Macaca mulatta: one gene and its partners. The protein of the gene in region 1 interacts with the protein of each later gene in a pairwise test. Links are inferred from orthologs where the notes say so. Each region holds a gene or a part of one and is shown in the gene's direction. Other genes may lie near its edges.

Evidence for each region.
Region 2: the proteins of CCDC102B (region 1) and PSMA1 interact in binary tests that used the Homo sapiens proteins (3 or more experiments, as listed by UniProt). The two-hybrid records come from large-scale screens. The link is inferred for Macaca mulatta from reciprocal best matches to the Homo sapiens genes CCDC102B and PSMA1.
Region 3: the proteins of CCDC102B (region 1) and CCDC120 interact in binary tests that used the Homo sapiens proteins (3 or more experiments, as listed by UniProt). The link is inferred for Macaca mulatta from reciprocal best matches to the Homo sapiens genes CCDC102B and CCDC120.
Region 4: the proteins of CCDC102B (region 1) and NTAQ1 interact in binary tests that used the Homo sapiens proteins (3 or more experiments, as listed by UniProt). The two-hybrid records come from large-scale screens. The link is inferred for Macaca mulatta from reciprocal best matches to the Homo sapiens genes CCDC102B and NTAQ1.
Region 5: the proteins of CCDC102B (region 1) and HMG20B interact in binary tests that used the Homo sapiens proteins (3 or more experiments, as listed by UniProt). The two-hybrid records come from large-scale screens. The link is inferred for Macaca mulatta from reciprocal best matches to the Homo sapiens genes CCDC102B and HMG20B.
Region 6: the proteins of CCDC102B (region 1) and MAGOHB interact in binary tests that used the Homo sapiens proteins (3 or more experiments, as listed by UniProt). The two-hybrid records come from large-scale screens. The link is inferred for Macaca mulatta from reciprocal best matches to the Homo sapiens genes CCDC102B and MAGOHB.
Region 7: the proteins of CCDC102B (region 1) and LMO4 interact in binary tests that used the Homo sapiens proteins (3 or more experiments, as listed by UniProt). The two-hybrid records come from large-scale screens. The link is inferred for Macaca mulatta from reciprocal best matches to the Homo sapiens genes CCDC102B and LMO4.

The regions. Positions count from the first base shown.
Region 1 is NC_133423.1:11,949,062-11,953,328, reverse strand, and holds the start of CCDC102B (coiled-coil domain-containing protein 102B), read left to right. Parts: upstream 1-1,467; 5' UTR 1,468-1,545; intron 1,546-4,267. UniProt on the Homo sapiens protein: During interphase, forms fibers at the proximal ends of centrioles to maintain centrosome cohesion. During mitosis, dissociates from the centrosome following phosphorylation to allow centrosome separation. Contributes to CROCC/rootletin filament formation.
Region 2 is NC_133419.1:50,928,385-50,932,490, forward strand, and holds the start of PSMA1 (proteasome subunit alpha type-1), read left to right. Parts: upstream 1-1,306; 5' UTR 1,307-1,354; coding exon 1,355-1,357; exon of another isoform or gene 1,358-1,744; intron 1,745-2,695; coding exon 2,696-2,740; intron 2,741-3,749; coding exon 3,750-3,851; intron 3,852-3,977; coding exon 3,978-4,081; intron 4,082-4,106. UniProt on the Homo sapiens protein: Component of the 20S core proteasome complex involved in the proteolytic degradation of most intracellular proteins. This complex plays numerous essential roles within the cell by associating with different regulatory particles.
Region 3 is NC_133426.1:49,143,686-49,147,081, forward strand, and holds part of CCDC120 (coiled-coil domain-containing protein 120), read left to right. Parts: intron 1-107; coding exon 108-248; intron 249-647; coding exon 648-942; intron 943-1,313; coding exon 1,314-1,376; intron 1,377-1,738; coding exon 1,739-1,913; intron 1,914-2,031; coding exon 2,032-2,130; intron 2,131-3,396. UniProt on the Homo sapiens protein: Centriolar protein required for centriole subdistal appendage assembly and microtubule anchoring in interphase cells. Together with CCDC68, cooperate with subdistal appendage components ODF2, NIN and CEP170 for hierarchical subdistal appendage assembly.
Region 4 is NC_133413.1:133,837,370-133,841,372, forward strand, and holds the start of NTAQ1 (protein N-terminal glutamine amidohydrolase), read left to right. Parts: upstream 1-1,203; 5' UTR 1,204-1,265; coding exon 1,266-1,348; intron 1,349-4,003. UniProt on the Homo sapiens protein: Mediates the side-chain deamidation of N-terminal glutamine residues to glutamate, an important step in N-end rule pathway of protein degradation.
Region 5 is NC_133424.1:4,383,176-4,387,350, forward strand, and holds the start of HMG20B (SWI/SNF-related matrix-associated actin-dependent regulator of chromatin subfamily E member 1-related), read left to right. Parts: upstream 1-1,375; 5' UTR 1,376-1,465; intron 1,466-1,717; 5' UTR 1,718-1,735; coding exon 1,736-1,773; intron 1,774-2,119; coding exon 2,120-2,228; intron 2,229-2,809; coding exon 2,810-3,013; intron 3,014-3,967; coding exon 3,968-4,088; intron 4,089-4,175. UniProt on the Homo sapiens protein: Required for correct progression through G2 phase of the cell cycle and entry into mitosis. Required for RCOR1/CoREST mediated repression of neuronal specific gene promoters.
Region 6 is NC_133416.1:10,000,989-10,003,580, forward strand, and holds the end of MAGOHB (protein mago nashi homolog 2), read left to right. Parts: intron 1-189; coding exon 190-272; intron 273-1,729; coding exon 1,730-1,829; 3' UTR 1,830-2,092; downstream 2,093-2,592. UniProt on the Homo sapiens protein: Required for pre-mRNA splicing as component of the spliceosome. Plays a redundant role with MAGOH in the exon junction complex and in the nonsense-mediated decay (NMD) pathway.
Region 7 is NC_133406.1:153,320,423-153,324,527, reverse strand, and holds the start of LMO4 (LIM domain transcription factor LMO4), read left to right. Parts: upstream 1-1,305; 5' UTR 1,306-1,679; exon of another isoform or gene 1,680-4,105. Other genes in the region: uncharacterized protein LOC144332728, read right to left, coding at 736-1,305. UniProt on the Homo sapiens protein: Transcription cofactor. Plays a role in establishing motor neuron identity, in concert with MNX1, acting, at least in part, to disrupt LDB1-LHX3 complexes thereby negatively modulating interneuron genes in motor neurons.

The DNA.
Region 1 (4,267 bases):
AAAATACTAGATTCACATGCAAATATTCAGATATATGAATTGGACAGTTAAAATAATATTTTAAATATATATATGTATACTCACGATTCATCTAAATCTTCTACAAATCCTTTACAGACGACCATATCAAGTAAAACAACTGGAAAAAAAAAAAAAGACAAAACGTACACAATAAATGCTGATTATTTGGCTCATACTGTATAAGCTTAGTCATCTTTGAGGTGTTTTTGACCTTTTACAACCTACCAAAAAATTCATCACTGATACATCCCAGGGTGCAAATGATGCAAAAGCAAAAGTAGTTCATCCATTTAATAAATAGTCTGTATGCAACCACATGGTGACCGGCCAAGTTCTAGGTAAGCCAATAAAGCTAATATACACAGTTCCTTTTTCCTCATTTTCACTCTCATCTTACTTCTCCTTTTTACCATTCCATCTTTTTGGAATATAGACAGCATTCTTCTATACTTCTTTTGCTTTAATAGCAATTATCTCTTCAGTAAAAACTCCAAATGTCATTCAAAATATTTACCCCCAAATAGAAAGAAAGTCGAGCTGTAACTCTAATACTTATTACACGGCCGTGTCTGACACAGAGTGGATTCTAAAAGGTTAAGTGAGCGGACCCCAGTGAGAATGAGGGCACTCCGTGCTGACGGGAGGCAGCTGAGAACCGCTGACACACACTCAGGTCCTTTTCACACCGCACAATCCCGGCGGCCTGACCCTGATCTGTCCTCGACCACCCTCTCTGAGCACTGGTGGTAAAAACCCTTAAACATAACAAGACTCGGAACCTAAAGTCAAGACAAGATCTGGTCGTTAAGGTGGGACGGCGGCATCCTTCTTGCCCATCAAAGGAGTAAGCTTTACTGAAACTTCCTGCCACAATGAGAAAAACACAAACACAAGGCAGCGCGCCCTTCCCACGTCCAGCACTGGTCCCGCACAGCAGCGGCGGAAGGACCCTCAGGTGTCCGCTCCTTCACGGCCAGGCAGGGCGGTGGGGCGGGGACGGCAGGACGCTGCCGGGGACCGGGTGGGCATCTCCGCGGGCCCCGCAGGCCTCGCCCCAGACCCGAGCCCAATCCCGGCCCCACGGCGGGGCCAGGTTCCGACCGCTGCGCGCCCATTACCTGTGGCGCAGAGCCGCAGAGCGGCCCAACTCCTCCACGCTGCCATGCCAGCCAGGGAGAGCTGCAGAAGCTGACTCTGTGCAAAAGAGGGATAAAGACACTGGGGTTCGCTGCCTGCCCGCCCGGAAAGGGAAGCAGACCCCACCCGGAGCGGAAGAGAAGCACCGCGCTCAATACGGGGGCGGGACTAGCCGGCCTCGTTAACCTCCCAGCACCCGGCTGGTCTCTAATTCTGGCTATGAGGGGGAGTACGGCGCCTGCGCGAGGAGGGTAGCGCCTGCGCAGTCGTGTTCTTAAGAATGCTTTGCGCCCCCGGCGCCCCGCCCAGCCCAGGAGCGTGGGAACCCTGCTTAAGGGCTTTACTAGGGACAACGGTGGTTGTTCACTGGGGCGAGTTTCTGGGAAGGTGAGTACCGGTGAAAGTTACGCTGAGGGTGAGGTAGGCTCCGACGACGCAGTTGCAGGTTGAATATTGGCACATCATTTACTTGCTACTCCCATGCAGTAAATGCACCTGTGGGTTTTGATGCTGGATCAAATTCCTGGAAAGAGGCGCGCATTAAGACTGTGGATTGCTGAGCTGCGCGACACTCCGTATTTTTCCAAAACGTACTTGTAATATTCTTTCAACCTGTTTGCATAATGGGACATCTCTTAAATGCAGCAAGCTTTAATGCATTTTTGCCAAAGTAAGGATTGCCTCTTTAAAAACTTTCTCTTGAAACTTGAGAACATGAAGTTAAGCGTAGGATATTTTTTGATGACTCTTTTCTGATTATTTTGGGACTAAATAAATAGTATGAAATATTTATATTGCTACCTGTTTTTTCTTCTACACGACAATGATTTGTAAAAACCATATACTTTCATGAGACGGTTACTGCAGCAGTCACTACTTCCGAATTAGATGAAATTTTTATGGGACATAAGGTACCAGAGAATTTAGATCAAACCAAATTTTGAAAACCTATGACAGCAGAAGGGGGATATGATGTCAGCCGGTTCACCTTAGGTTCAAAATTCCAACAGGCCGAAATGTTATAAAACGTTGTTATTCCTAGTGACTGGAAGATTAAATTGCACTGTAATTGAGAGCAAGCCCTAAATGTCACCCCCTTTGTGCATACAGCATGCACAAACGCGAGCCCTCTGCAGATTCAATTTTTCTTTTTGTTTCTCTTTTCTTTTCTTTCTTTTTTTTTTTTTTTTGAAAAAAGTAGACTAAAACGTAAGAGGACAGTTGAAGTGATGGTAATGTTCTCGCGGTGGTGGAACAGCTTTATAATAGTACCATCGCCTCGATACTCTTATACAGAAGCTTTTCTACTTTCTTGGCAAGGTCTCTGAATGACCCATATTCAATTTTTTTTTCATTCTAATGTATTTCAAATTTTTCTGTCTTCCACATCATGCAAAATAAAATAATATCTTTTTATATTTGCGTTACAGTTTAAGTTCACATGTGGAGAACAACGAAAACAGGTTGACCTAGATTTGTGCTCTTCAGTAGTGTAGCCACTAACCATATGTCGCTATTGAGCTTTCGAAATGTGCCTAGTGTGATGAAGTAACTGAATATTTAATTTTAATCTCAGTAAACTCAAAAACTGGCACTTGATTCAGCTATTGGAAAGTTTTTTTAATATGGTTGGAACAACTGAGGTATGTGAATCTACTTTTTCAACTGTAAACTTTATGAAATCTAAATACTGATCAAGTCCCAGGCGTCGGTGGCTCATGCCTGTTATCCCAGCACTTTGGGAGGCTGAGGCAGGAGGATTGCTTGAGGTGAGGAGACTGAGACCAGCCTGGTCAACACAGGGAGACCCCATCTGTACAAAAAATTAAAAAATTAGCCGGATGTGGCCTGGCGCGGTGGCTCACGGCTGTAATCCCAGCACTTTGGGAGGCTGAGGCGGATGGATCACTAGGTCAAGAGATTATGACCATCCTGGCTAACACAGTGAAACCCCATCTCTACTAAGAATACAGAGAATTAGCCAGGCGTGGTGGCAGGCGCCTGTGGTCCCAGCTACTTGGGAGGCTGAGACAGAAGAACGCATGAACCCAGGAGACCGAGCTTGCAGTGAGCCGAGATTGCACCTCTGCACTCCAGCCTGGGCGGCAGAGGGAGATTGTTTCCAAAAAAAAATATCAGCTGGATGTGGTGGCACACACCTGTGGTCCCAGCTACTCCAGAGGCTGAGGTGGGAGGATAAGTTGGGCCAGGGAAGTTGAGGTTGCAGTGAGCTGGGATCCTGCCACTGCCTTCCAGCCTGGCAACAGAGCAAGACCATGTCTCTATAAAATAAATATCAATTAAATATTTCTGATGAAATTAGAGAGGTTGTAACGAGATATACTATAAATGTAAAATATACACTGGATCACTGGATTGGGAAGACAATATAAAACTGTAAAATGTCTCAATATTTTTGTACTGATAATATGTTATAATGATTATAGCTTAGATATGAGTTAATTAAATTATTAAAATTAATCTCACATGTTTTTATTTTTAAGTGTAGCTACTAGAAAATTTATAATTACATATGTGGTTTTGCATTATATTTCCGTTGCACATCACTGATCTAGGCAACGTGAAAATGATCAAAATAATGCATTAATCTGAAAATGATTTAATAAACCAATAAACTTTTTAGGCTTTTTGTTCAGAGAACATGCTAAATTTCCACATGCTAAAACATATTCTGCGGTGAAAATTTTAAGTGTTTTTTTCTGCTTATCTACCTCAAGTGGTGATTTTTTTTTTGAGATTTAAAAGATTCTACTATTTTGACAATATTTTTAAAAAGACTTTCAGATAAGCTACACTTGTACAGGTATATATATATATACCTTGTGTATTTTGCATACATATTGCTGTAGTCTAAATGTGTAACCCAAATTTCATATGTTGAAACTTAATTGCCAATATGATAACATTAAGAGGTGGGGCCATTTGGGCATGATTTAATCATGAGGTGGGACCCTCATGAATGTGATTAGAGACCTTATAAAAGAGATTGAAGGGATTGTCTTAGACCCCTTTTCCCCTTCAACTTTAAGCCATGTGAAAACACAACAAGAAGGTACCATCCTGGAAGCAGAGAGCAAACCCTTATCAG
Region 2 (4,106 bases), on another chromosome or scaffold:
GCCCGGCTAATTTTTGTATTTTTGGTAGAGACGGGGTTTAACCGTGTTGGCCAGGATGGTCCGATCTCCTGACCTCGTGATCCACCCGCCTCTGCCCTCCAAAGTGTTGGGATTACAGGCGTGAGCCACCGCGCCCGGCCTTTTTTTTTTTTTTTTTTTTTTGAAACAGAATCTCTGTCGCCCAGGCAGGCTGGAGTGCAATGGCGCGACCACGGCTCACTACAACCTCGATCTCCCGGGCTTAAGAGATCCTCCCACTTCAGCTTCCCGAGTAACTGGGACCACAGGCGCATGCCAACATGCCCAGCCTTTTTTATTTTAGTATTATTATTATTATTGTAGCGACGAGGTCCCACTGTATTAAAATAATATAGTGATCTCGAACTCCTGGGCTCAAGCGATCCTCCGCCCTCGGCCTCCGATAGTGCTGGGATTACAGGCTACCGCACCCAGTCTCTTTTTTTACAAAGAATGTAAATAGCCGGTGGATGTTAGATTGGCAGCTGTTTGCAAAGATGTCAGACTATTTCATTACGGAAAGATGCTCTCAAAAGACAAAATAGGTAAGTCGAAAGAACGTGTCCATTTTTTCTCAGTGGCCTAATCAGGTATCATGCTTGGTTTTGAGGACACAGAAAGACAGCGCCCTCATGGAGTTCAAAGTCTGGTGGAGGAAACCAATCATAATAATAATGAGGGGTTAAAGACAACAGAGCCTTGAAAGATAACATCTCCAGGGAATAAGGAAGAGCATTCCAAGGTATCTTGCCAAATGGCAAAAACCGCGGTTACTTTTGCACCAACCTTAATACAAATAAAAGCATGTACACAAACAAGATACTCGAGGAAGAATACGGCTGACACACAGAAACGGATCGTTATCTTGGGGCTTTCCTGCAGCCTCGTTTCTTTCAGTCACGTAACACCCCAAAATCTGTGGACGGTGAATGAGAGCTAGTATCACCCGGAGTCACGGCTGTTGCCTCGTAAGACTTTAGATGCAGCCCGCCACCGGGAGAAACTGGAGGGAATCCGCAATACACAGGAACCAAGAAGGGCTACGTGACAGGGGGTCCCCCGCAGCTCTCAGCCGCCGGCACTCCCAGCCCTGGGTTTCCCGCCAATCTCAGTTACTAGATCTTCCCAGGCTCCGCCCGCCGCCGAGCGGTCGGAGAGTTTTAAGGAAGGGGAAGTGTTGCAAGCCTATCGATATCTCTGGAATAGACTGCGCTACCCTGCGCCGCCGCCATCAGACTCCCGCAGACTTCTCTGTAGATCGCTGAGCGATACTTTCGGCAGCACCTCCTTGATTCTCAGTTTTGCTGGAGGCCGCAACCAGGCCCGCGCCGCCAACATGGTACGTTGAATCCCGACCTCTGGAAGGTTTAGGGCAGAGCTCCGGTGACTCGGGGATGACGAGCCACCTCTCCTGTCATCCTTAGCGCCGCCCGGGGCCACGAGGTATGGGAGCCTCGGCAGACGGCCGGGCTCCGGCAGTGATTCAGCATCTCCGGCCTGGCCGGGTTAGGGGCTGTCGGTAGCCAGTGCGGCCTTTCCACCGCTTTCGCTTCCCGGGGAGCCTCCGACACTTCCTCCTCTGTCAGCTAGATGAGTTCGCCCCTCAGGTTCCTTCAGTGGAGTAGATTCTGAGCGGTCCAGAATAGCCCCTAGTGCTGTGTATGGGAGAGGAGAAGACAGAGACTTGGAGGCCTACCTGTACCACCAGTGCGGACTTGACCCCCAGGTTTGTGTTCCTGGACCGCGTCCGTTTTCCTGGTGGGTCCGTCTGATTTATCTCTCCCCTAGACTTCGGTTAGAAGAGGCCCTTTTCAATAATTTTGTCCAGTCACCTATTTACAGATGAGTAAGCCGAGGCTGAGAAGGGAAGTGATGGAATCTGGGTTACAACATAGGGTTCTGGGTTTCCAGTGCTGTGCTCGCACTCAATCTCACTCCCGTGATTAGTCTCCCCAGCACTGCTAGACTTATTATAATAGTCATAATAGCCGTAATGGTTCTATCGCTGCAGCTGTTTGTGTCCACCTCTAACTTTCTGAGGACATTTTTGTTCATTCAATATGAATATACAGACAGAGCATTTGTACAAGCATAACTACAGTGAACGTTCAAAAGTCATACATGTCCCTAATCATAAAAGCAGAAAGGGACGTTTAGATAAAGAACTGTGGGAGTATGTGTTAGGGGGATTTGGGAAGAAAAGCTAATCATAAAAACAGAAAGGGACGTTTAGATAAAGAACTGTGGGAGTATGTGTTAGGGGGATTTGGGAAGAAAAGGAGAAGACTTCCAGAAATCGACATTTAAGCTAACTTAAAGAAGAGAAAGGCTTTTAACCATTTATTAGGTCCCAATAAAAGGGAGCAGCATAAGCAAAAATAGGCAAGAAAGTTGATTGTGAACTTTAGTAATTGAGCCTAAAGGGATTGCTATGAAGGGTTTTAGAATAAGAGGTTGGAAAAATAGGACCCATTTAGATCTGCTTCTCCCTCTCCCACCAGTTTATGGTAAATGTAGAATTGGCTTACGTCTGAGTACAGTAGTAATCTTCCAGTAAGATTGCATGAACAGAGTGCCTTAACATTGAATGGAAACACAAGCATATTTCTTAATGAATGTTAGAGTTGGGATTTGAAATGTTCTTCTATTAACAGGTCTTTTTTTCTTTTACTTTTAGTTTCGAAATCAGTACGACAATGATGTCACTGTTTGGAGCCCGCAGGTAAAATAATGTTTTTTAAACTATTTCTGTGAAATGGCTTTTTGTGGCTGCAATATATTTAGAAGCTTGTGAGAGCATAGGCTTGGGGAAAATGGAATATAATATTTTAGTCGTTCTTGGAAGTTGCATTTATAATTAAAATAGGTCTCCTAATGGACCTAGAGGACATTATGTTAAGTGAAATAAGCCAGAAACAGAAAGAAAAATATTTCATGCTCTCACTTATATGTGGAATGTTTTGTTTAAAAGAGCAAATATATAGAGAGAGAGAATAAAACAGTGGTTACCAGGGTAGGGAATAGCAGTGGGGAGGAAAAAAGAGGAGATACAAAGTATCAAATATGTAGGTTGAGCAAGTGGAAGGATCTAAGGTACAACATGAAGACTACAGCTAATAATGCAGGTAGTGTTTTGTATTCAGGATTTTTGCTAAGTGAGTAGTTGATAGCTCTTGCCACAGCAGAGGAAAATGGGTAAGTATGTGAGACAATGGATGTGTTCATTCTGCGATAGTGACCCTACTATATATGTGTATCTTACAACATCATGTTGCATACCTTAAGTATATACAACAAAATTTATTTTAAAAGAAGCTTTTGGCTAGGCGCAGTGGCTTATGCCTGTAATCCCAGCACTTTGGGAGGCCGAGGAAGGTAGATTGCTTGAGTCTTGGAGTTCAAGACCACCCTGAACAACATGAAACCTGGTCTCCACAAGAAATACAAAAATAAGCTGGGCGTGGTGGTGCCTGCCTATAGTCCCAGCTACTGGGGACGGTGATTTGAGAGGATTGCCTGAGCCCAGGAGGCAGAGGTTGTACTGAGCTGAAGATTGTGCCACTGCACTCCAGCCTGGGTGACAGAGTGAAAACCTGTCTCAAAAAAAAAGTTTCTTGATTTAAAAAAAAAATCAGTTGAGATTTAACTATGCCCACCTGACATTTGAAAACTCTAATTTTTAAGTTATAAAAGGCCTTCTAAGATGTGGTTTTGTTTTTTTTTTTCTTTAGGGCAGGATTCATCAAATTGAATATGCAATGGAAGCTGTTAAACAAGGTTCAGCCACAGTTGGTCTGAAATCAAAAACTCATGCAGTGTTGGTTGCATTGAAAGTAAGTAAAGTAATAAATATGTCTTCCTCTGTAAAAAACTATTAATGTAAATTTCACCATAGACAGTAAGGTTGTAAACTTATTTTTACATTTTTTTTTTTAACATCTTATAATGTCTCCATTTAGAGGGCACAATCAGAGCTTGCAGCTCATCAGAAAAAAATTCTCCATGTTGACAACCATATTGGTATCTCAATTGCGGGGCTTACTGCTGATGCTAGACTGTTATGGTAAGTATAATCATGAAAAATAAAC
Region 3 (3,396 bases), on another chromosome or scaffold:
GCCGGGCCAGGCTCCTGGTAGGACTTCTGTGGCTTCTGGGATCATTAATGCTTCACCCCATCCTTCCAACTAACCCTTGGTAGTCTCTGACCCCTGCCTCCCACCAGGAGCTGACTGGCCAGCTGCCCCCTGAGTGCCCACTAGAGCCTGGTGAACGGCCCCAGTTGGTCCGCCGGCGGCCCCCCACAGCCCGTGCCTACCCTCCACCACACCCCAACCAAGCACACCACTCCTTGTGCCCTGCTGAGGTGAGCAGATGGGTGTGGAGAGCAAGAGGGTGGGGAGAGGGGACAGGTACAGAGGAGTAGCCAGGAGGAAGGTGTGGGGAGGGGGCTTGTGGCCAGGTGAGGGAGCTTGTGGCCAGGTGAGGGAAAGGCTAAGCTGAGAAGGAAAAGGGCTTCTGGAGGTAGGTTCCTGCAATGAGGGAGGATGCTGGTCCCTAACTGTCAGGACAGGCCTCCCACCCTCAGGAAGATGAATCGACCCAGCCCTTCACCCTGACCCGCCCCCTCCCCCAGGTGAATAAGCTCCACCTGTAGGTGAATGGGCCTGAATAGGCTGCAGGAAGTACAGGCCAGCCTCTAGTGGGTTTGGCTCCGCCAGGTCCCTGTTCCTGGCCATTTCCAACATTTGGGTGGGCCTGACAGGAGCTGGCTCTTGAGGCCCTGGAGCGTGAGGTGTCAGTGCAGCAGCAGATCGCGGCAGCTGCCCGTCGCCTGGCCCTGGCCCCTGATCTGAGCACCGAGCAGCGCCGGCGCCGTCGCCAGGTCCAGGCAGACGCACTGAGGAGGCTGCACGAGCTAGAGGAGCAGCTCGGGGATGTCCGGGCCCGCCTTGGCCTCCCAGTGCTCCCGCTGCCCCAGCCACTGCCACTGTCCACGGGGTCAGTGATCACCGCCCAGGGAGTCTGCCTGGGCATGCGCCTCACTCAGCTCAGCCAAGGTGAGCATCCCCTGGTGAGGGTGGGAGAGTGGACACTGGCAAATGAACGTGGTAGGGCTGGGATGGCTGAGTGGCCAGTGAAAACCGGGAGGTAGGCACAACTCAAGTGGCCCAACCCGTGAGAAGAGTTGTGACAAACTGGCTTACCGGAAAGGACAAACTGTGGGAGACTGATGAATATCTGCCCGGACAGTCAGGAGCCAAGCTGGGGTGGTCTTGGGCTCTGGTAAAAGCAGATTCTTGGGAAGGGAACAGGATGAGGTGGAAACTGGCCAGAAGGTGGCCCAAGTAGAGGTGCCCACCCAGTGGTGTAAGGGGGCGGCACCCAGGCCTGGGAGTGAGAGGCCCACTTCTCCCCCTCTCACCTATAGAGGACGTAGTTCTGCACTCAGAGAGCAGCTCCCTCTCAGAGTCTGGGGCCAGCCATGACAACGGTGAGGACTCCTGTCCCCCAAACCTGCCCCCGACTCCTATGTCCCCTCAGCCCATCCCCTTTATTCATCCGACCACATCCTGCATGATCAGCCCATCCTTTGATGCCCAGCCCCTCCTGTGCTGCTTCAGCTTCTCCTTAGCCATGCTCCATCTTCCTGTAGGTCCCCCATCTTCTTAGCCTCACCCCACCCCAACCCCCAGCCCCACAGCCCCAGAACCTACTCGTCAGCCTTAGCTCCTCCTCAGTCTGCTTAACCTGTCCCAGCACTTTGCCCCTCCCCATGGCCTTGCCCACGAGCCTGTCCTGCCCCCTCTGGGCCCCCCTCATTGAATTCTATCCCACTTGCTCTCTTCCACTCAGAGGAGCCCCATGGCTGTTTCTCTCTGGCCGAGCGCCCCTCACCACCCAAGGCTTGGGACCAGCTGCGGGCAGTATCCGGGGGGAGCCCTGAGCGGCGAACCCCATGGAAACCACCCCCATCAGATCTTTACGGGGATCTGAAGAGCCGACGGAACTCTGTGGCCAGCCCCACCAGGTGAGAATGAGCCCCTCCTCCCCTCCGCAGGAGCTGGGAATGGGATAGTAAGCCTGGGCTGGCAGAGGGTCTGCTGGTGGGTACAGTCTCTAACCTAGGCCTGCCTGTCACTGTCTAGCCCCACACGCTCGCTGCCCAGGAGTGCCTCCAGTTTTGAGGGGCGAAGTGTGCCTGCCACCCCAGTCCTCACGCGGGGCGCTGGCCCCCAGCTCTGCAAGTAAGGGGAATCTGAGGGTGGCCTGGAGGATCAGAGGGGAGGGAACCATTAGTTCTCACTGGAAGCTTGAGGACGGCATTATCAAAAGGTGTGGGATCGCTGGGCGCGGTGGCTCATGCTTGTAATCCCAGCACTTTGGGAGGCCGAGGTGGGCGGGTTACTTGAGGTCAGGGGTTCAAGACCAGCCTGACCAACATGGTGAAACCCCATCTCTACTAAAAATACAAAAATTAGCTGGGTATGGTGGGGCATACCTGTAATCTCAGCTACTTGGGAGGCTGAGGCAGGAGAATCGCTTGAACCTGGGAGGCAGAGGTTGCAGTGAGCTGAGATCAAGATTGTGCCCTTGCACTCCAGCCTGGGCGACAAGAGCAAAACTCCATCTCAAAACAAAAAAACAAAAGATGTGGGACATGGGAGGCTGGGAGTTAAAAGTGAGCAGGCATCTCGGTGGATAATGGGGTAGAGATTTGGGGCAGAAGCATCAAAGTTTTGAGTATGGGCTTTTCTGTGCATTTTGGACAAGCCATTCTCCTTTTCTGAATCAGTCTCCTCATTTGTGAAATGGAAATGATAGTATCTGCCTTTGAAAAACATGGACATAATAAGTTCTGGTTAACATATACTGAGTGCCTGCCACCTGCTAGGAATTAGTGGCACCAACTCATTCAATCATAATGAGATCCCTGTGAGGTGGGTGCTATTGTTATTCCCATTTTATAGATGAGGCAAATGAGGCACAGAAAGGTTAAGTAACTTGTTAGTAAACTGAAGTCCTGGAGTTTGAGCCCAGGCAAGTTTTACTCTAGAGTCCATGCTTTTAACCATTGTCCTCTTCTGCTTCTGCTTCTTAAACAGAGTGCCTACTTTCCCCAGGCTCTGAACAAAACCAAGTCCCCGGCTTGCATTCTGTGAATGGTGGCTGTTGGGATGGTAGCTTTGGGTGGTTCATACATATGGTTGGATAGAGAATTCAGGCAGGGTTTTACGTGTGGGCCCTAAGGCCTAGGACTCAATCCTGGAGGCCGTGGGAGCCGTGAGAAGGGCCTTAGCATGGGGAGGGGTCAGCTGGATTAGGAAGAGCCCCCTGCCCGGCACCTACTCTGCTAGCCTTTCCTCTGAGTCCCTACACAGATTTACACCTCTCTTGGAGCTAACAGTGCCAGGCCTCCCCCACGCATTTCTACCCCCGACCCCCTAGCCTAGGACAGAACCTAAGCCGCCCTTTACATGTCACTACCTGCCACCTTTATACACACAGCTTCC
Region 4 (4,003 bases), on another chromosome or scaffold:
TACTATTCATTCACCATAGATAAATTCTATTTTTTTTCTTTTTTTGAGACGGAGTCTTGCTCTGTCGACCAGGCTGGAGTGCAATGGCACTATCTTGGCTTACTGCAACCTCCGCCTCCCGGGTTCAAGCGATTCTCCTGCCTCAGCCTCCCGAGTGTCTGGGACTACAGGCGCGCGCCTCCACGCCCAGCTAATTTTTGTATTTTTAGTAGAGACGGAGTTTCACCATTTTGGCCAGGCTGGTCTCGAACTCCTGACCTCGTGATCCACCCGCCTCGGCCTTACCAAGTGCTGGGATTACAGGCCTGAGCCACGGCGCCCGGCCCTAAATACTATTTTAACAATATGGTGTCTTTTCTTCCAGACTGCCAGTAAATGAACAAACACATGATTAACACAAAAACGATACCATATGGACTCTTTAAACTTTTTTTTTCAAATTTACTATATCAGGGAATTAATATATCTTTTCGAGCCAATAGATATAGGTCTTCCAATTTAAAAGATTAAGTTACAATAGAGTGAGATTTGGTGTGCTATCCCTTTCGGAAAGCGTCCTCGATGCGGTCATATTGGAATTAACCTCCACTCCCCTCCTCTTCTCTGGGCTCCCGCGGACTCCAGGCTGAGTGCTGAAGTGTGGATTTTCACACCCAAACCTCTGTTATTTCAGTGTCTCACCTGGCTTCTCCACAGCGCAGAAGCTCAGCCCCAAGTTGGAAGAGCCTCCCCGGGAGATTCACAGCGAAGCGCTATTCAGGGCCCAACTCCAAGCCCAAACCTAGCTCCACCCTAAGCCGCCGCCAAAGACCCCTCTTCTCCCAAACCTCACCGGGGCCCCGCCCCTGACTCCGCCCACGAGAGCCCAAGCCTCCAGTCCTGCCCCACCCCGGGCTCCACCCACCAGCCGGGCTCCGCCTACCCGGAAGCACGCAGTCCTCCTCGTCCCGGGCTCCGCCCACCGGGAGTTCTCGCCGCTCACCCCACCCCGGACCCGCCCACTTCGCTTGGGCTCCACCTTCCCAGGAACTGGCGCCGCTTGCCCGAGCTCTGCCCATTTCGTCCCCGGCTTCCCGCGCTGAGAACTCGTGCTGCGAGCCCCGCCCACCGCGCTCCTGGCCCCACCGCCCGGAAACTGTCCCGGCCGCCCCGGGCTCCTCCCACCCCGCCCTGAGAGCCCGCGCGTGCCGCTACACGCCCGCCCTTTCCTACGTGTGGTCCAGTCGGTCTTCCTCCGGCGTCGGCGCTGGCTGAGCTAGCTGGCCATGGAGGGTAATGGCCCCACTGCCGTCCACTACCAGCCGGCCAGTCCCCCGCGGGACGCCTGTGTCTACAGCAGCTGCTACTGGTGAGGGGGCGCGGGCGCAGCCTCTGGGTCTCCCTGGCTCCCGGGCCGCGAGTTGCAACCAGGCCCCGCCTCTTCCCGGCCCCTGCTCGGGGGCGCTCCCGGCCTCTACCGGCGGGTTCTACAGTTCTGCGGGAGTAGGGAGCGGGAATGGCAGCTCTTGTCTCTTGAGTAGAGCGTGGGCTGTTGGATGGGGTTGGGAATTCGTCCGGAATCCTAGGGTCGATAGTGCATTACCTGTGCCTGGCGCTTGTCGGTTGGATTTGCTCAGCAGATCTCTGCTTCGGGGCTAGGGAGGGTGGAGCTCTGAAAACCTTTGGAAGTTACTCTGCTGAAGCATGTGGGGTTTCAGACTGAGGCGAAGGTCATTTTAATTTTGGAAGAGAATGGAAGCACAGAGAGTTTGGGATAACTTCCCAAGGTCACCCAGCTAATAGCAGCCAGGAATCCAGTTCGGGCTCTCTGGCACCAGAAACCATGATCTTAACCATGTTGTCATTATAATAATGGTTACATTCACACAGCCCTTGCTATATGCCACGCGTTGTTCTGGGTGGTTTAGGTAAACTAAATCACTGAGTATCACAATAACCCTAAGAGGTAGGTATTGTTATCCCCAGTTTAAAGATGAGAGCACTGAAGCACAGAGGGCTGCAAGTAATTTGCGCAGGGCCACATCACTTGTGAATGAAGGAGTGGGGATTTACAGGCAGAGTCTGGCCCCGGAGTCCATGCTCTGCACCCCTGTCCTAGGCCACCTCTGCAGCTGAAGCACCGCCCCTGCCTTGGTCCTTTTTCATTCCCATGCCTACTCTTTCCTGAGTAATGGTTTCTTCCCCAGCTTCTTCTAGTCCTTGCACAGGAACCCTCAGTGCTATCTAAAACTACCCTTCCCCCTTCTGCTTGTCACTAAATCAATGCCACCGAGCATTTGTTCGGCCCTGATTGCATGTCAGGCTCAGTGGCAGGTGCTTCCATCGATGTCCATGAGTAGCTTCTTTTACTATCGTTATCCTCATTTTACTAATAAAAAGAGTGAGCCACAGAGAGGCTGTTGTGTGCCCCCAGATCACACATCTAGCAAGTGGTGGTGCTGAAACTGGAACATCTTCGTGATTTTGAAGTTCATGCATCTTAACTGCTGCACTCTTTTTCTGTCCTGCCTCTTCTAAATCCCGTTAGTTCTCCTCCCTAATGTCCATTGTTTTATTCATTCATTCAATAAATGTGTATTAGGCACTTGGAGTATGTGGCCCACTTCTGGGCACTGGAGATACAGCAGTGAACAAGATGGACAAATTCACTCATGGATCCCTTGGTTCTTGTATTTTGATGAGAGAAAAGCAGATAAGGTCCGGTGCGATGGCTCACGCCTGTAATTCCAGCACTTTGGGAGGCTGAGGTGGGCGGATCACTTGAGGCCAGGAGTTTGAGACCAGGCTGGCCAACATGCAGAAAGGCTGCCTCTACTAAAAATACAAAAATTAGCCAGGTGTGGTGGCACACGCCTGTAATCCCAGCTACTCGGGAAGCTGAGGCAGGAGAATCGCTTGAACCCGGGAGGAGGAGATTCCTGTGAGCCGATGCCACTGCACTCCAGCCTGGGAAACAGAGCGAGATTCCATCTCAAAAAAAAAAGGCAGACAAAAACAAGTAAACCATGTTTGGGTGGTGTTAAGTGCTGTGAGAAAAATAAGATAAAGGATGGTGGCTTATTTTCTATTAGGATATTTTGAGAAGACATTGTTGATAAGGTGATATTTGAACAGAGATCTGAAAAAAGAGGGTGAGAGCTTTGCATCTATTGGAGGATGGTCATTTAAGCAGGGAGAACAGCAGGTACAAAGGCTCTGAGAAGGAATTGTGCTGTATGATAGAAACAGTGAGGAGACTGGTACAATTGGAGTATCAGAGTTAGAGCAGTCTTGTAGAAGAATGGTAAGAGTTGACCACTCTACCGCAGGATTTCTCCGCCTAGGTTCGAGTGACATTTTGAGCATGATAATTCTTTGCTATGGGGGCTGTCCTGTGTATTGCAGGACATGTAGCAGCATCCCTGGCCTCTACCCACTAGATGCTGTTAGCACCCTAGCTCTAGTTGTGACAACCAAAAATGTCTCCAGACATTGCTAAGTGTCCTGTAGGGCTTGGGGGGCAAAATCGCCTTTTGCTGAGAAACAGTGCTCTACCCTGTCTGAACATGTCAGGTGGGGGCACTGCACTACTTTGGCTCCTGCAGCTTTGTGGGGTTTTTTTATTTTTGAGACGGAGTCTCAGTCTATCACCCAGGCTGGAGTGCAGTGGTGCCATCTCGGCTCACTGCAACCTCTGCCTCCCAGGCTCAAGCCATTCTCCTGCCTCAGCCTCCCGAGTAGCTGGGACTACAGGCACCCACCACCATGCCCGGCTCATTTTTGTATTTTTAGTAGAGATGAGGTTTCACCACAGTGGCCGGGCTGGTCTCAAACTCCTGACCTGAGGTGATCCACCCGCCTCGGCCTCCCAAAGTTCTGGGATTACAGGCATGAGTCACCATGCCTGGCCATCCTGCAGGTTTTTAAACTTGAAATGAGTGCCTCCTGTCTACTTCTGTTAGCTTCTGTCATGTTAGCTTCCAAATGTTACTTATGCTTCAAGACCCTGCTTAATGATAATAGT
Region 5 (4,175 bases), on another chromosome or scaffold:
GGAGTGAACTGCTGAATTGCATGGTGATTCCACATTTATTTAACCCTTTGAGGAAATGCCAGTCTGTTTTCCAAAGCAGCTGACTGCATCTGCCTCCTAGACATTTGAACAATTCAATGAATGTGTATTGAACACCCACCACGGTCACTGCTGTGAACCAAACAGGCAGGCCACAGAGAGGAAACCGACTTACGGAGAAAAAAAAAAAAAAAATCAGAGGCGAGGTCCTGGCTGAGCAGGTGACATTTGAGCGGACTTGAGGAAGAGGAAGGGGGCTGGGCGCGGTGGCTCACACCTGTAATCCCAGCACTTTGGGAGGCCGAGGCAGGTGGATCACGAGGTCAGGAGTTTAAGACCAGCCTGGCCAAGATGGTGAAACCCTGTCTCTACTAAAAATACAAAAATTAGCCAGGCGTAGTGGCAGGCGTGTGTAATCCCAGCTACTCGGGAGGTTGAGGCAGAGAATTGCTTGAACCCGGGAGGCAGAGGTTGCAGTGTGCCGAGATCGAGCCACTGCACTCCAGCCTGGGCGACGGAGCAAGACTCCGTCTCAAAAAAAAAAAAAAAAAAAGAGGAAGTGAGCAGCCCCCAACTTGGGTCTGATCCCCCAGAGCGGAGCATCCTGACCCAACTTCACCAGGTCCTTGCAACCTCCCTTTACCACCATCTTTCCCCAAATACTTCCAGCCCAGCTCCCAACCCCACCCCCTGACTGACCCACACCCCGTTCTCAGCTTCGCAGCATCCCAGCCTCTATGCCCTGGACATCGTGCGATGTCCCCATTGCACAGGAGGGAAAGCCCAGATCCCACTGGGAAAGCCGCCCCTGTGGCCAGAAGCCCTCGGATCCGGATGTCGGGGGTTCTGAATAAATAAATAGGAAACGTCTCCGATGGGTTTTGCAGGATGTTAAGAACAGGTCCCACCTTGTCCTAGGGCTGGGGGCTGCCTCACAGGAACTTAACCCTAGCACCTCCGTCCCCATGGCAACCGGGGCGTGGCCCGACCCGGATCCGCGGGTCGCGCCATCCGGCAGCTGCTGGGAGTATCGCCCTCAGAGCGGGAGGAGGAGTCGGCGCCTCACCTACTGGCCCTTTAAGAGGCTCCGCCCGGCAAGTCCGCCACGCGCTCCCGATTGGTCCCGAGCGCGGCCGAGCGCAGCCGAACTTGACGCACCGCCCGCCGCCTTCCTTACTAACCTCCCACGCGGCTCAGCAGCCTCCCCAGCCAATCGCCGGCCGGCGCGCCGATCGGTATCTGCATGGGCACGCCCCGGGGGAAGGCCTCACCCAATGGGACCGTTCGCCGAGGCCTCATTAGCATGCCGGGGGCGGGGAGGGGCGGGGCAGTCGGCGGGGGTGGGCTGCGGGCGGTTGGTTGGAGCGTCGCGCAGTCGGGAGGTCCGGGAAAGTTTCTTTGGAGGTGAAAACAGCCGCGGAACTCCGGGCCTTGCGAGGGGGCGGGGGTGCGGGGGTCCCAGGGCCGGGTCGGGGTCTTTCCTGGGCCGGGGGGAACCGGCCCAGGCCTCCCGGGGGGCAATCGCCCAACAAAGGATTCTTGGGGCGCCCGCCCTCGAGGACTTCCCCGCCCCCGGATCCGGCCCCCCCAGCGCTCCGGGCCCGGCATCCCGGGGCTCTCCATCACGGGATACCCCAGTTCGCGGTCCGCCATCAATCAGCCCAGGCGCTACTCAACTCCGCCCGCGTCCGTGTTCCAGGTCCGGCCCGGAGCAGCCATGTCCCACGGCCCCAAGCAGCCCGGCACGGCCGCCGCGTGAGTGCTCCGATTCCCTCCCCACGCCCTCGCTACCTTCCCGGCTGCAGCCCTAGCTCCTGAACCCCCGCTCCAGTCACCCCGGCCGGGGTCTCGACCGCCCCCAACCTGGGTCAGGGGGCTTCTCCCTCCATCCAATCCTGCATACCCCACCTCGGCCTCCAGCCCCTCCCAGGAGCCCCGCTTGTCCCACCTTCCGCGGATACTGACCCCATCAGACCCTGCTTCCTCGGGCTCATGCACTCTCGCAGCAGCCCCATCGTCGGGCGTCTAAAAGCCTTGGGGTAGGCGTTTGGGGGAGGGGAGGCTCTAGGGACGGGGCTGACCTCTGTATCCTTGGCTCCAGGCCGGCGGGCGGCAAGGCTCCGGGCCAGCATGGGGGCTTCGTGGTGGCTGTCAAGCAAGAGCGCGGCGAGGGTCCACGCGCCGGCGAGAAGGGGTCCCACGAGGAGGAGGTGAGAGTCCCTGCGCTGAGCTGGGGGAGGCCCCGGGCTGCGGCCCCAGCCTTGAAGTCCCGCCCCAGGCTGGATTTGAATTGCTTGTGGCTCCGCCCACAGCCCAGATTTTCCTCCGGAAGCTGAGACCCCGCCCCGTGCGAGCTGCCACGCCCCTGACAGGTCCTCTGCCTCCCTAAGTCCAGGCCCCGCCCACCACACAATGCCAGCTCTGCCCACTCTAAGGTCCCGCCCACTTCCACTCCTTGGGGGCGGCACCCTCCCCATGGTCCTGTGGGCCCTTTCTCCAAGAAGCCACGCCCACCAAGCAGAGGCCACGCCTACAATCTAAGTAAACACCACCCCTGTGCTCAAACCTCGGCCCATAGTCTCTGGGATCCCCTCATCCCTGGCCAGGGACCCCTCTAAACCACCGTGTCCTGACTCCTGACTGGGCCCTACCTCCATCTCTTCCGGGTTCTTCCTCCCAACTAGGCCCCGCCCCGTCCCCGCCCATACAGCATTAGGCCCCGCCCATGCCCCTCTGAGCCCCGCCCCAGTACGCCAGGCCCCCCTCCCAACGACGCAGCCCGGTTCTGCAGCCGGTGAAGAAACGCGGCTGGCCCAAGGGCAAGAAGCGGAAGAAGATTCTGCCGAATGGGCCCAAGGCACCGGTCACAGGCTACGTGCGCTTCCTGAACGAGCGGCGCGAGCAGATCCGCACGCGCCACCCGGATCTGCCCTTTCCCGAGATCACCAAGATGTTGGGCGCCGAGTGGAGCAAGCTGCAGCCAACGGAGAAGCAGGTGAGCGGGGCGCTGAGCAGGGCCGGCGGACCCCCGTACTACCAGTAGCCCCGACCCCCAAAGGATTCCACGTGCAGGGCTTTTCCTTATGCCTGGTGAAATGCCCACCCATGACCAGTTTTTGTGTGTGTGTGTGTGTGTGTGTGTGTGTGAGATGGAGTCTTGCTCTGTTGCCCAGGCTGGAGTGCAGTGTCGCGATCTCGGCTCACTGCAACCTCCACCTCCCGGGTTCAAGCAGTTCTCCTGTCTCAGCCTCCCAAGTAGCTGGGATTACAGGCGCCAGCCACCACGCCCTGCTAACTTTTGTATTTTTAGTAGAAATGGAGTTTCGCCATGTTGGCCAGGCTGGTCTTGAACTCTTGACCTCAAATGATCTGCCCACCTCAGTCTCCCAAAGTACTGATATTACAGGCATTAGCCACCATGGCCAGCCCATGACCAGCTTTTGGGGGCGCGGCTAGCAAGAGGCAAGACAGATCGAAAACTGGGTGACCAACAAAGATATGTCTAAGAAGTCAGGATAAGGCCTGGATTTTTTGTGAAATCTGATTTTCATATACTGTTAGTTTAAAAATTGCAAAAACATCACGGAAATGTAACAAAAGCCACCGCCGCTTTGCACCCCTGTAAGTGAAATTTCAAAGAGAAAAACGGGTGCAGGAGGGAGTCTAGATATCCACATACCCTGGAGGTTGGGTGCCTGCCCATGACTCTGGCGCCCAGGAGTGTCTTGTCAGGGCGGGAGTTGGGGATGAGCCTGGGGCATGGGAAGTGATGTGGGAGCTCAGAGGTCCTTGAGCAACAGGCTGAGGAGCCGGTTCTGTCTGTCTGGAGGGAATAGGGAACTATGGAAGGTTCAGGAGAGGGGAGGGTGCTGTGAAAGCTGAGTGATGAAGACTGGGTCCTGGCGTTAGAGGCTTCCCCTGCCTCAGGTCTTTTGGTGCTGTCCCCCAGCGGTACCTGGATGAGGCCGAGAGAGAGAAGCAGCAGTACATGAAGGAGCTGCGGGCCTACCAGCAGTCGGAAGCCTATAAGATGTGCACGGAGAAGATCCAGGAGAAGAAGATCAAGAAAGGTGGGAGGGGTCAGGCGCGGTGGCTCACGCCTGTAATCCCAGCACTTTGGGAGGCCGAGGTGGGTGGATCATCTGAGGTCAGGAGTT
Region 6 (2,592 bases), on another chromosome or scaffold:
GTGAGCAGTTTTTATTTTAAGGATATAGTTTATATCTAATACACCAAGTTTCTTTCCCCCCACCACGCCACCCCCCGTTGACTGCTAGAAAACTTGCAACTAAAATTGGGATCCGTTTGTAGCAAGAATACAGATATCTCTGGGATAGATTTATATATTAACTACATTTTTCTGCTATTTTTTTTTTAGGAGCTTGAAATTGTAATTGGAGATGAGCACATATCATTTACCACATCAAAAATAGGTTCTCTTATTGACGTAAATCAGTCAAAGTAAGTATGTTAAAGCATTTTGGCCAAGTTGTCATTATTAGAGAGGCTCATTTTAGAACTATAGTATAGTCAGTTTGTTAGCCAAGATAATTTCAGTGGCCTCCTATCAGTTTATTATGCAGATGTAATTCTGATTTGTATGTCATTAAAGGCTTACTATCTTGTCTGTCAGTAGAAGTTAGCAGAGTATTTCATCGATTGTCCAAAAAATTTTAATCCAACAGCTGTATATAATAATGCCCAAATTGTATTAGCTATTTTGTATAAAAATGTGGATATAGTATCAGAAAATCCAAAGAAAAGAAGTCCTTATTGGATTATATCAGCCTCATTAGGTCCATGTCATCTCACTTTCCTCCTTGGGCTCAATACTTGGGAAAAAGATGGAAAAAATCCAGTCTAGCCTAAGTATCCTTTACTACCAATGTCTTCCCAAGATCGATCTCTCCTCCGCCCCAGGGTTTTGTAGTACATCCCATTTTCTTGGTCTGATCCAAGCCACTTATTTGTGCCCATTCCCCTCAAAGTGTCCCATAGTGCTCTTCCCTTTTTCTGTCACTCTAAATTGTAATAACCTATTTGTCTGCTTTAAGTAAGCTCCATGAGAACCTTGCTGTATCCACAAAGTTAGCATAGTGCCCTGCACATAATAGATGCTTTCAATATTTATGAGAGGAAAGGAGAAAGGAATGAATGCATAATGACTATTGGACACAAAAGTCTGTGTTCACAGAGACCAACTGGATGCTTGTAAACTATGAAATTTCTTTTCCTACATTTGGTGAGGATGTGGCATTGATACCCTACTGGGATTATAAATTGGTAGTGGTTTTTGGAAAGCAGTTTGGTAATATGCATCAAAAACCGTTTACATTTTTCATTCACCTTTGGCCTAGTAATTTCATTTCTGAGCATCTCTTCTATGGAACTACTCCTAAATATTGGAAAATCTTTATTATGCATGAAGATGCTCATTGAAGTATTATTAATAATAGGAAATTAACCCCGTTGTCTAACAGGGAGAGAATTATTAAATTAATTAAAAATTACTGGGGAATTTTTTTTTTAATGCTGTGGGGAAAGCAATGTAAAAAGGGGCACAGGGAATGATTTTAGTTATTATAAAATAGAGAAACATCAAAATGTTCACAGTTATTCTATGAAATGGTGGCATTACGGTATTATTTTTTCTGCTTTATTAGACATTTTTATGATGCGGTTATGACATTCATAAGGAGATGAATCTTTAAATACTAAAATGAATACTGATGAAGAAACTATTTTTTTCTTATAGAAAAGATATTCATTTTATGCTGTAGTTGTTGGCAAAATCCTTCCCTTCTCCTAAATATTGTTAACTTAATTGTTAAAAGATTTTAATTTTGTTTTGTTTTAGGAATTTAAAGAATTGTTTTATCCTAGGAAGAAAAAGTAACTTTTACCTTTTTAAATTTTAGGGATCCTGAAGGTCTTCGAGTATTTTACTATTTGGTACAAGACTTGAAATGTTTAGTTTTCAGTCTTATTGGATTACACTTCAAGATTAAACCAATTTAAATTGTATGTTTTCAAGCTGTTTGTATATTTAATTAAGGGATGGGAGGGGTTATTTGTCATTTACAATATTGGGGTTTTTATGAATGTGAAGCGAACAAAAAAAAATTTGTATCTAAACTGAAAATAAGAAAATACATTAGCCAGCTTAATGGTTATCTTTACTTGAGTCCACATGGGTTGGACATTCCCCACACATATTAAATTCTGTAAATAAAAGCCACCTTTTGTTAAAAATTTGCTCTAATAAAACATACCAAATCCTGGTTGCAGAGTAGTTTTTTGTTTTCTCTAGGAGGCTATGTCTTTAATTCACTTTAGAGATAATAAGAAATTGTTCTGGTAGGTATATCCTGTGACAGAAGATACTTTAGGTGGAAATATGTAGCCATATTCCCATCCATGAAAGGCAATTGTAGATCTTCCCTTATTTCCTTCATACATGATTGGTTTTAATTTTGGGGGGCTTACAGAAGGTCTGTTTTGTTTTGTTTTGTTTTGTTTTTTTTACAGTTATCACAAACCCCTCAGGAATTATTCACATTTAAATATTTTCAATTATAAGCAGTGATGTCCTAAAGTGTTACAAAAGTAAAGTCTACCCCATGTTAGGCATATCTTTGATTATGTCCTTGTTCCTTATTTCACAATGTATTTGGTGTGTAGGGGAGGTGAGGAACTAAATGAGTTTTCAGCTTTATAAATTGTTAAACATTTAGATAAACGTACATGTAAGTATGAATGGACAGAAATATTTTAACTCCTA
Region 7 (4,105 bases), on another chromosome or scaffold:
GAGGCTGTGAGATTGCAAATCTCGCAATTACTTCCATTGCTTTTGGGGGCTGTGAGAATTTCCGCCTCTCATCCTCCACAGTGAGGAGGGTAGTCGGGCAAGGTTTTCTCCCTGAAGTTTTCGTCAACTTTGAAAATAAGGACTGTGCTCCCTACATCACCAGCAATTGACAAGGATCCAAGAAATGCCTGCTAGGCACTTTCACACTCGGGTAAATGGGGGATGAGGGAGGCTAAGTAGGCAGTATTTAGCTAGCAACTATTATTTCCTTTATGTTTCTACCTTGTTAACTAAGCTTCCACTACGGTTCATAAATCTCCAATATCGTGAATTAAAGAAACAACAACAAAAACCCTCTTCTGTGTGCGTGTGCGTGAGGGGATAGAAGTTCACTGCCCTAAGATGCAGGACTTATCTTCCCAAACAGGAAGATACCCATTTCTGAGAAAGATGGTAAGTTTCCTAAGGGTCTCCTCTCAGATCGAGGGGATGGCAGTCCCCGAGGAGCGAGCGGGAGCGGGTCCTCAGGGTCCCCGTGCGCAGAGAAGGCAGGTGAGGCCCCCCCGCCCCACCGGGTCTCGGCTCCGGATCCCGGGTCGCGAAGGTCAGCCCAAGCGGGTCCCCGGCGCCAGGCGCCAAGCGGGTCACTTCTCCCCACCTGATTCGGGCCCTTCCCTTCTCCTCTGTCGGCCCGCTCCGCCGCCTCACTCTCTCCCCCGCCCCCCGAGTCTCGTTTCAGTCATCCCTTTGTCCTTCCCCGGATTGGCAGGTTTTATTATTCCGCCTGAACAATCCGGCCGCCCAGTGGCTGAGGGTCGCTGACGTCGGAGGCAGAGCCGGGGAGTAGTTGGGATTTTGCTCTGTCAGTAACACATGTGTAAGAGCCGCGGAGGGAGCGAGCGAGCCGGCTAGAGGCCAGCGCCGCCGCCGCCGCCGCCGCCGCCGCCTCCTCCGCCTCCGCCTCCGCGCCGGGCAGCAGCAGCCCCGGCAACAGTCCCGGCAGCGGCGTAGGCTCCAGCGCGTCGGGCCCGGCCGGCCGCAGCTCCCGACTCCTGGGCGCGCCTGCCTGCCGGCCTCCGCACCGTCCGCCGCCGCTCCCCGGGTTTCTGTGTCTGCGGCTGCTCCCGGGCGGAGGTGCAGGGAGCTCAGTCGAGCCGCCGCTGCCAGCCCGGAGCGAGCGAGCGAGCTAGCGAGCGCGCGGGAGGGAGGAAGGCGGCGGCGGAGGAGGAGGAGCGGGAGGAGCGCGAGGAGCGCGGGCGGGGGCGGGGGCCGCCGGGCGGGGGAATATACAAAGTGAAGCCACATTGCCAAACTTGCAGCAGCGATTGCAGCAGTTGCTGCCGCTGCACCGCGCCTGAAGCCGCGTCGCGCGGGCCGAGGGCTCCTGCAGCTGCTCGCGCGCAGCCGGAGGCGGAGGAGAAGGACGAAGACTGAGACTGACACTTCTGCTCCCGGCCGCCTGCCACTTACGCGGGGGCCCCCCAACCCGCCCCAGAGCAACGCGATTTAAAAAAAAAAAGCCGCCCTTAGCCCCCTCCTCCCCTTTCCTGCTTCTGCGAGAACTCCCTCCCTCCCTCCAGCTCCGCCAGCCCAGGCGCCCCTTCCCTGGAAGCCGAGCGGCTTCGTTCGCATTTCACCGCCGCCGCCTCTTGCAATATTGCAATATAGGGGAAAAGCAGGTAAGGGGGCGGCTGGGGGAGCCGCGGGCCGGGAGGTGGGAGAGAGAGGGAGGGGGCCGATTCGGGCCAGGGCTGTTTTCTTTGGCTTCCTTCCCCTTACCGTCCCAAATTGCAAGTAAACAATACGTCGCCTTAGATAAAGCGCGAGTCTGAAACTACCGAGGCCGGCCTGCGAGCTAGCGCGGAGGGCAGCCCCGGGCCGCCAGCTTTGTAGCGGTTCCTGCTTACAAAAGGGCTCTTCTTGGAAACGGGGCTGGTGGGGACCGTAGAGGGGGTGGGATATTTCTAGTTCATGAGGGAAAGGGCAAGGGGTGCTTAGATGAGGTTTTAAGTATGAGAAGTAGTGTGTTTGGGGGGGTGGGGGTGGGGATAGTCACGATAACCCCCCCCTTCTAGTAAACACTAATTTTGAAACAGTGGCAGGAAGGGTCTAAGTGAGCAGGATTCGGTATTGCTAGTTCTTTTTAAAACCTCTTGGTTTATAAGTCTTTTGTTACAATCCAGGAGAAATACGGTGAATCACCTAATTAAAATCAAGACATGAATTAAGCATCCATTTTTGTACTACAAATTGCCAGCGTTACGTTTGTCCCTCCCTTGGTCTCCATTAAAAAACACCAGAGACGTTATTAAAGGGGGGCAGATTTTGCCTCTAGCTGCCAGTTCTGCTTTCTATTTCACTGACTATCCCAGGACCTAAATTGCTTGGCTATGTAATTACTAGAGTATAAGCCTATTTAACTTAAAAGCTTTCTTCTTCTTTTTTTTTTTTTTTCCAACTCTAAATGAAACTTGATGAGGGCCCGTCCTTAGTTATCAGGGGAGTCAGTTTCTGGTCAGTCCTCTTGATTCATCTCTTTTAGATTTAATCAGCATTAAGGTATTGCTTGTCCTTAAGAGCTTTAGCTAATGGGGTTACTGGATGCTTTTCTCAGTGTAATGTTTCCTTTTCAAAAAAAAAAAAATACATATATATTTACCTCTCACTAAAGATGGGGGCGGGGAAGAGCTGGGAATCTCCTCCCTCTCTCCTTTTAAAAAGGAATTCGGAGCGATTAAAACGTTGGGGGAAACAGTTTAAAGACCTAGGGCAGGAAATGCAGATTCATTTGGGTTAGGGCTGAAATTGTAACAAAAAGCAATTCCTCGAGTAAATGCATCAGATAAATCAATTTACATAAAGGTATGATGCATTCGGATAAATGCAATGCTAATGGGTTTTAGAGTGGTCCTGTTTCCAAAGTCTCAGGGTTTTGTTACAGCTTAATTGGTGCAGTTCTTATTCTGGTTTATTGTGCGGTCACTGGACACACGTTCCGGGACTCTTTCGGAGGAAATGTGTTTAAAATCGGCCTATTTAAGGAACCCGAGTCCCTGTTTCGTTCGTTCCTTCCTCGTTTTTTTGCAGCAGCCAAGTTGGGCCGGGGACAGGCAAAGTTCGCCTTCTTCTGAGGTATCAGCTGAATGTCTTGAGCAGATAGCCGGGAGCCTCAGGGGGAGCCCACACTCTCAGCTTACAGAGGACAAAGACAAAACAGGCTGCTTAATTGGCAGTAAATAACTTGATCTTTTTATAGAATAAGTGACTAGAGGAACACTAGGACTTTATTGGACTCGGAATTGAAGGCAACAAATTAATCGGTTTAGGCTAAGCTTTATAAATTGATTCCTATATTATATCCCAGTTGCATCTCTTGTGGCATTCATTAGAGTGGGGAATTCTTTTTTAAAGCAGTTTTTGGTGACAGCAGAACGGGCTCGAATTTAACTTGTGCATCCCTTAATGCTGCCTTCTCGCACGTTATCTGTAACGCCGACCCCCCCCCCCTTTGGAGGAACAAAGCTTTAGCATTTAAATTGCTGATCAAGGGCAGATTAGTGAGACCAAAGTGGAGAGTGTTTGTATAGGAAGTTAACAGGCATCCTAAAGTTCAATGATCTATTATTCTTGCCTGTGTCCTGAAAACCCAGAGAAAACACTCATTGATCTTCAAAATGAAATGAGATTTGGAACAATAATGGGAGATGGCGGTCACCACAATGGCATGTGAAAGGTGCTGCTTAAAATACGAAAAACCAGTTTCGCAACTTTACACACTGCACCCCCTCTGCCGTCACCTTGCCTTCCCTCCCACCACCACGCTCTCCATCTTCCGTCTGCCGGTCCCTCCCTCCTTCCCTTTCGGAAAACCGAACTATTTCCAACTTGTGAACTCCTGCTGCACTTCCCAGGGCAGAGCCCGGGAGGGAACGAGGCTCCGGCGGGGCCGTCGCCTCACCACTCCCCTCGACTCTGTCCCGGGGCCCGGCGGGGGCTGGGGAGGGGCCGGGCACGGCGGTGGGTGGGTTTGACCCTCATTTGCTGCAGGCGGGCGGCGGAGGAGGGGGGCAGTGGGCGGAGGCGGGGGCTGGGAGGAGGCGCCGCG